Callithrix jacchus: one gene and its partner. The protein of the gene in region 1 purifies or fractionates together with the protein of each later gene. This does not show direct contact. Links are inferred from orthologs where the notes say so. Each region holds a gene or a part of one and is shown in the gene's direction. Other genes may lie near its edges.

What was found.
Region 2: the proteins of MKI67 (region 1) and IFI16 purify together in Homo sapiens (affinity purification with mass spectrometry; 3 studies listed by BioGRID and IntAct, with this or other methods). This does not show direct contact. The link is inferred for Callithrix jacchus from reciprocal best matches to the Homo sapiens genes MKI67 and IFI16.

What each region holds. Positions count from the first base shown.
Region 1 is NC_133513.1:121,413,440-121,417,264, reverse strand, and holds part of MKI67 (proliferation marker protein Ki-67), read left to right. Parts: intron 1-883; coding exon 884-929; intron 930-1,418; coding exon 1,419-2,498; intron 2,499-3,825. UniProt on the Homo sapiens protein: Protein that associates with the surface of mitotic chromosomes and acts both as a chromosome repellent during early mitosis and chromosome attractant during late mitosis.
Region 2 is NC_133519.1:19,004,464-19,008,388, forward strand, and holds the start of IFI16 (gamma-interferon-inducible protein 16), read left to right. Parts: upstream 1-1,243; 5' UTR 1,244-1,478; intron 1,479-3,925.

The sequences.
Region 1 (3,825 bases):
GTAGCTGGGACTACAGGTGCGGGCCACCAGGCCTGGCTAATTTTTGTATTTTTAGTAGAGATGGGGTTTCACCATGTTGTCCAGGATGGTCTCCTTCTCTTGACCTCATGATCCATTCACTTTGGCCCCCCAAAGTGCTGGGATTACAAGCATAAGCCACCACACCCAGCCCCTGTGGCTCATTTCTGAGAAAACCGATTATGCAGTCCACAGTTCTGTGTTCATGGTGGGCTACAGATCTTCAGTTTAGGTGATGTTTAATATTAACTTGGTTCTTCCACAATATGATGGTGGGAAATAACTTCAAAAGAAGTTCTAAAAATGCACTGAGTTCAATTGTAATAATTTTAAGCCTTGAGTTTGTTTTCCATTAATCACTTACTATTTTTTAACAAGTCAATTAAGATGCACTTTTATCCTGACCAAGCTCCCAAATGACTTGAGCTCATTTCTCAAACAGTCTTTAAAAGTCATACAGGATTGGTTTGGTAAAGAAAGCTTTTTTTTTTTTTTGAGATGAAGTCTCGCTCTGTCGCCTAGGCTGGGGTGCAGTGGCACGATCTCCACTCACTGAAACCTGTGCCTGCTGCGTTCCAGAGATTCTCTTGCCTCAGCCTCCTGAGTAGCTGGGACTTCAGGTACCTGGCCACCACGCCTGGCTAATTTTTATATTTTTAGTAGAGATGGGGTTTCACCATGTTGGTCAGGCTGGTCTCAAACTCTTGACCTCAAGTGATCCGCCCACCTTGCCCTCCCAAAGTGCTGGGATTACAGGCATGAGCCACCATGCCTGGCCAGAAAACAATCAATACTTTTTCACTATTGTGACTGTCAGTATTTAGAAAGGCCTGCAAATAACTGTTCTTATTTTCCCAACTCACAGGAGCCAACACGTCGTGTCTCAAGATCCAGCTTCTCTTCTAACCCTGGTGAGTAGCGGTTGGGTTTTGTTCTGGAATCCTGAAAAATCAGGTCTTTGTGAAGCATAATGGCAAAGAAAAGGCAACGAGAATGCAAGTGCTAAACATCTAGCCTGTCAGAAGTGGAGGAGGTGTCATTTAACATGTCAACAACAGGCAGATGCCTAACTCTTTCCCTTGGCGACTGATGGGGTGCTGTGCCTAGGAGAGACTCTAGGTATGAGAAAACCTAGAGCTGTTCAGCTGCCAGCTCAGGTCTCAGTGGTTGGATAGCATGTGATATTGCATACTGGTTATTGGCGCTAATGTGATTTATTTATTTGTATTATAATACTAATATCTTGAGACTTGCAAGTTTTAGACATTAAATAATCTGTAGGCTAAGTAAAAGCTAGCTTATAAGACAATCTGAAACGATTGAAATAATTGAATTCCACAAATGTTAACCATTGAGAAAATGTTGAACTTCTGTTTCTTATTTCATAATTCATTGCCAAGATGGGAAAGCTGCAGATTCCAAGGCGTATTTAAAAATCACTGAAGGAAAAGTTTCAGGAAGTCCTCAGGTACATACCAAGACTGTCAAAGAAGACAGTACTGCGGATGACTCAGAAGGCAGTGTTGCCCAGGAAACACCTGATGGTCACTCCTCAGAACATGCTGGACATAATGGCAGAAATGCAGCTCATCGCATTTCTGGGGATTTTAGAGAAATTTCCAGGGTAAAATTAATGAGCCATTGTGGAGAACTGAAGTCTCTTTCCACCACACAGTGTCTTGACGATAGCCAAAAAAATGAATCTCCCTTTAGGAAGCTATATCAGTCAATGAAGAAAGAGCTGGGTATAAAATCACAAAAAGAAAATGTGCCACAGTATTGTAGAAAATCGGGATTACAAACTGATTACACAGCAGAAAAAGAAAGTGCTGATGTTTTACAGCAGGAGACACAACTGTTGGTCTCATGTATGTCAAGACCGAAATCTGGTGGAGGCAGCCACGCCATGGCAGAGCCTGCTTCACCTGAGCGAGAGCTTGCCCAGGCCAAGGGCAAGGGAAGAGATGTGGAGTCTGTTCAGACTCCCAGCAAGGTGGTGGGTGCCAGCTTTCCTCTCTATGAGCCGGCTCAAATGAAGACTCCTGAACAATATCCACGGCAACAAAATTCTCCACAAAAACATAAGAACAAAGACCTGTATACTATTGGTAGAAGAGAATCTGTGAATCTGGGTAAAAACAAAGGCTTCAAGGCTGGCGATAAAACTCTTACTCCCAGGAAGCTTTCAGCTAGAAATCGAACACCAGCTAAGGTTGAAGATGCAGCCGACTCTGCCGCTAAACCAGGAAATCTCTCTTCCAAAACCAGAGGAAGTATTCCTATAGATGTGGAAGTTCTGTCTACAGAAGCCGAAATTCAAAATGACCCCCTTTTAACTGTGTGGCTCACTGAAGTTGAAAGAAAAATCCAAAAGGATTCCCTCCATGAGCCTGAGAAAGTGGGTGTCACAACTGGACAGATGTGCCCTGAGTTACCTGGTCTTAGTGCAGTTGATATCAGCAACTTTGGTGATTCCCTTAGTAAGTTTATTTCATTGTAAATTTATTTTTTCTAAAAGATGAACACCTTCTGTTTAGCCATGAATCGGTGAGACCTTGATTCATTCAGTAGTGACTGGCGTTGTGGAAGAGAGTGTAAGCACTTATGGCACAGGGATAGGACAGACATGCGCACTGTTTTCCCTGATAGCTTAGTACCGAAGGCCTAGGTAATTACAACAAGGAATGACAGGAGGCGGAGGTTGTCAGGGAAGCAGGAAGCAGGGGTTATTGAAGGAGGTAGGGTGGCCCCCGAGATATTCCATTCTCCTCCATCTGTCACAAAACAGAAAAGAGAATACTCATAATTGCTTTTCACATGGAGTTGAATTCTGAACTACAATCAACTGTGTCATATGAGTTTGGTCATTTGGAATAAATCACTGGAGATCATTGAATATAGTGGTAGTTCTCAAGTGTTTATACTGTTTTCAGAGTATCCTGCAAACGATTTACTGTAAACACTGGACTCTACCCATGAGTTTATATGCCAGGCAAATTTCTAAATGCTTTGCAGCATCAACACTTGATTCCTGGTGCAGTAGGAGTGCTCATGGCTAGGTTTTCTCTTTAGATCTATGTCACAGATGAGGAAACTGACAATCCAAGACCACCCAGTGAGCGGCAGAGATATGACCTTGATAGCAGGTGTGGTAGCTCCTTGGGAGCTTCCTATACTCCTTGGGATTGGCTTTTAGAAGAAAAGTTGTCCAGGCCATGGATGCAGTATTCGTACTATCAGGCTCTGTTTCTGCAGGTGGCCCATAGTGGTGGGGCATGAGGCTATCGATAAAATAAGGCCTGTAACATCAGTCTTAGTGTTCCACCACGCCTCATAAAGGGGAAGCATCGCTTAGACAAGGAATTTATGTTAGCTGCTGGCTCAGGAAGATGTATAATTGAGGCTGGACTCCTGTGAATTGACTCAGAACCACCTGGAGGAGTTTTCACAGCTCGTGTATTCTGGTCACTGGGTGAAGCCCAAGCTCATGTCTTTAGAGAGCTCCCTCCGGCTGTCATCCCCCTAATCCAGGGTGAAAGCTACTGCTTCATGCTCCTCTTTCATGTGTCCACACATAATGCTTGATCGTTTTAAAGAACGCCTCTGTACTGTCCAGTGGGAACTGCACGTCTTAGTGGCGTCTCCTGCAGTCCTTTAGGAACTCTTAGTGGCTTAAGCTTCAGCCGGGTCACAAGAATGGAGGTGTGTTGTACGTGCTATGTTTCTGTGACTTTACACTGATTAGTCTTCAGTGCTAATGTGAAATAAATGGCCAGTCTTGGAACGTTTTCTCATTGCTCTTTCCAC
Region 2 (3,925 bases), on another chromosome or scaffold:
GATGCCATTTTTTTTTTTTTTTGAGACGGAGTTTCGCTCTTGTTACCCAGGATGGAGTGCAATGGCGCGATCTCAGCTCACCACAACCTCCGCCTCCTGGGTTCAGGCAATTCTCCTGCCTCAGCCTCCAGAGTAGCTGGGATTACAGGCACGCATCACCACACCCAGCTAAATTTTTTTGTATTTTTAGTAGAGACGGGGTTTCACCATGTTGACCAGGATGGTCTTGATCTCTTGACCTTGTGATCCACCCACCTCGGCCTCCCAAAGTGCTGGGATTATAAGCTTGAGCCACCGTGCCCGGAGATGATGCCGTTTATTTGACATCCTGGGGTTACAGCACTCTAAAGAGCACCCGCTGCCCTTTACAGAGAAAAACACATTGCTGAGCAAAGGATTAAACAGGCTCCCTTTGCTACCAGAAGTTCAGTGCATTTTCCAGGATTTTCAAGGCTTCATTGCTGTCAAGGTCTGAGCCCTACTATCCTCTTGTGTTTACCCATGAATAATGCAGAAAACATGAGTAATCATAAATCTAATCATTGAGGTAAAGTAACCTAGTCATAGGCAAAAGGACAGCTAGTGTTAAACTCCTTTATATAAATTTGAGCAACAATTTACATATTCATAACGACTTCCTGATCTGGAAAGCCCCAGGTGTGTCAACTATTAACAATTAGATGAATACTTCAGGTAATATTTAAACAAATAGCAATTTTATACCAGACATTTCCCCATCCAGGAGATGCAGTAAAGCACTGGTAGTGATAGTCACTTCTACCAAGATCTCCTCCTACCACTGCCACTCTGCACAGGAAAGGAGGGAGAAGCCACCTGCTTCGCTTATATCTGAGCATCATTTAAGGGAATATAGGTCCCTAAGGACCCACATGTAAGTCTGCTGGGTAAGAAAGTTCTAATGTTGAAACTCTTTTCAGCTGTTAAATTTTCTTAAAAAAAATACATATATATATATATATATATACTGATTTATTTGTATTTATATACATTTATGAGATACAAATGCAATTCTGTCAGAGCTTTTAGCGTACACAGCACGGGAAAAATGTTCATTGTACCCATGAAAGTAATTTCTCATCCCCCATTTGCTCTAACCACACACTTCAGCCCTCTTCAAAAGGAAACTGTTCCTTTTCTCTGACTAACAGAAACGAAACCTAAAAACAGTAGTGGGAGGAGTTTCCATGTTGTTTCCTAACTCCATTTTCTCTGGGGCAATAGCAGAGCAGCAGAGAGCCGGCACTAGTCAGATTACTCAGCGACTTAACCAAGGCCCTTTTTTCTTGTTATCTTTGCAAATACTTCATTTTCTTAGCATTTCAGGAAATTACAACATCCTGCAGTTCTGTTTCTGGGACCTTTACTGATTTATCTCCTCGCTTGAACAAAATAAGCATTGATTCCCGCATTTCTGAAAATCTCAAGATCTGGACCACTGTTGAAAAATTTCCAGTGAGGTGAGTACTGTTGCTAGTTTTGTAAATAAGGTCTTGTTACTTCTTTGAAGTCCCCAGAGTCGCAAGGGGACAATCAGTATCGGTTATTCAGGGTCATGGAGGATGGGAATAGGGTTGGGTTTTCAGAAAAGTGAAAACTGAGTTGCTTGATATAAATCCTTCACTTACTTAGGAAGATAACAGGCTTCTTTTATGCCACCACAACTGAGGACTGAACAAGAGAAAATGCATTTTGACCACTGTAGATTTTTTTTTTTTTTTTTAAGATGGGGGTTTCACCATGATGGCCAGGCTGGTCTTGAACTCCTGACCTCAGGTGATTCACCCACCTCCGCCCTCCAAAATGCTAGGATTACAGGAGTGAGCCACGGCGCCTGGCCAACCATTGCAGATTTTTTTTTTTTTTTTTTTTGGACACGGAGTTTCGCTCTTGTTACCCAGGCTGGAGTGCAATGGCGCGATCTCGGCTCACCACAACCTCCGCCTCCTGGGTTCAGGCAATTCTCCTGCCTCAGCCTCCTGAGTAGCTGGGATTACAGGCACGTGCCACCATGCCCAGCTAATTTTGTGTATTTTTAGTTGAGACGGGGTTTCACCATGTTGACCAGGATGGTCTCAATCTCTTGACCTCGTGATCCACCCACCTCGGCCTCCCAAAGTGATGGGATTACAGGCTTGAGCCACTGTGCCCGGCCACCATTGCAGATTTTAAAACTAATTTTCTGAGTATGTATTGGCATTCAATGATATTTAGAAGAAGGTTTTGGTTATTTTTACCAGAGGAAGTGTTGGAAACTCAGTAGCTGTGGTGGGTTCTCAAGATAGTGACATGAAAAAAGTATCACGAAAGAATATTAAGTAAAAAACACATCTGAGCATAGAGCTGTATTATGTGATATCATCCCAATTTAAAAAAACATGAGAGCAAATGTACACATACAGTGGAAAACTTTTTCCAGTTTCAGTTATTCAGGTATGTGGTGTCTTCATATTTTCATAAGTATGTTGATCTTCTATGTTTTTCCTTGTAGTCCTCTCACAATCATATATATTAGGTGTATGTATAATATATATTCACACACGTATATTATATGTATATATAATCATTTATACAAACGTGTACGCACATAGAAATATATGTGTATAGTGGAATGTGACATTTTAAAATGCTGATTTCAGAATTTTATGTATTATTAGATAAATGTTTACTATGTTCAAACATATCATTACAGATTTCATATATGTGTGTGTAGTTATGTCGGTGCATGTGCGTGTATATAAAGAGAAATATATACTAATAATTATAGTACCACGAAGCACTATAAAATAATAATATCATTAGATAAATTAGATGCATTTATTTTATTATTTTTTCTTTTTTTCTCACAATAATGCTTTGTAGCAAAATTAGATAAATTTATAACTAAAACTTATAATTTCCTAGTTGAACCTTTTATCATTATAAGGTATCTGAAGTTACCTTTGGGCTTAAGGTATATTTAAATTTACACAAGCATAAACTTGCTTTCTTTAGTGATTCTTTGCAAGATAATTTTTAGCAATTTTTTTCATCTTTTGTTAACATGTATTTATATTTCTTAAGTCAAATTTGACGAAAGTTGTCACTTAACAGATCAGACCTTTTAGGTGTATGCTGGTAATTAACAATCTGCTATCTTCTATTTATGACACTTCTATATTATCTCACTATCTAAGACAATTACTTTAGTGACTTGCCCTGTTCTTTTTCTACCCTCCCTTTACCATGCTGTTAGAATTTCTGTTTCTCTTCTCTTTGATCAGGGCTTTCTTTTTAAGATATTAGGAACACCTAAAGTTTATTTTTTACTTTTCCTATCTTTTGGCTGACAGCATTTTAAATTTTATTTATTGTTTTCTTATTAAATATTATTTTCAATAGATTTTTTTGTGTGGTATGAGGCTTTGTCTTGCAAAAAGACTAAGGCCCTGAGTATCAGATAATAGTTTTTTTTCGTTTGTTTGTTTGCTTTGAGACGGAGTTTCGCTGTTGTTACCCAGACTGGAGTGCAATGGCACAATCTCGGCTCACCACGACCTCCGCCTTCTGGGTTCAAGCAATTCTCCTGCCTCAGCCTCCTGAGTAGCTGGGACTGCAGGCACGTGCCACCACGCCTGGCTAATTTTTTGTATTTTTAGTAGAGATGGGGGTTTCACTGTTCAGCCAGATGGTCTGGATCTCCGGACCTCGTGATCCGCCCACCTCAGCCTCCCAAAGTGCTGGGATTACAGGTGTGAGCTACCATGCCTGCCCCAATTAATAGCCCCAGAAATTTAAATATCTTGGTTATACAAAAGGTACACAAAGACATCATTCCTAAAATTAAAACATTCATTAACTTAAAAAGAAACTGGAATCCATACCATGCACTTAGTGTCATCACGGAAGTGCACAGATGTTAAAAGGT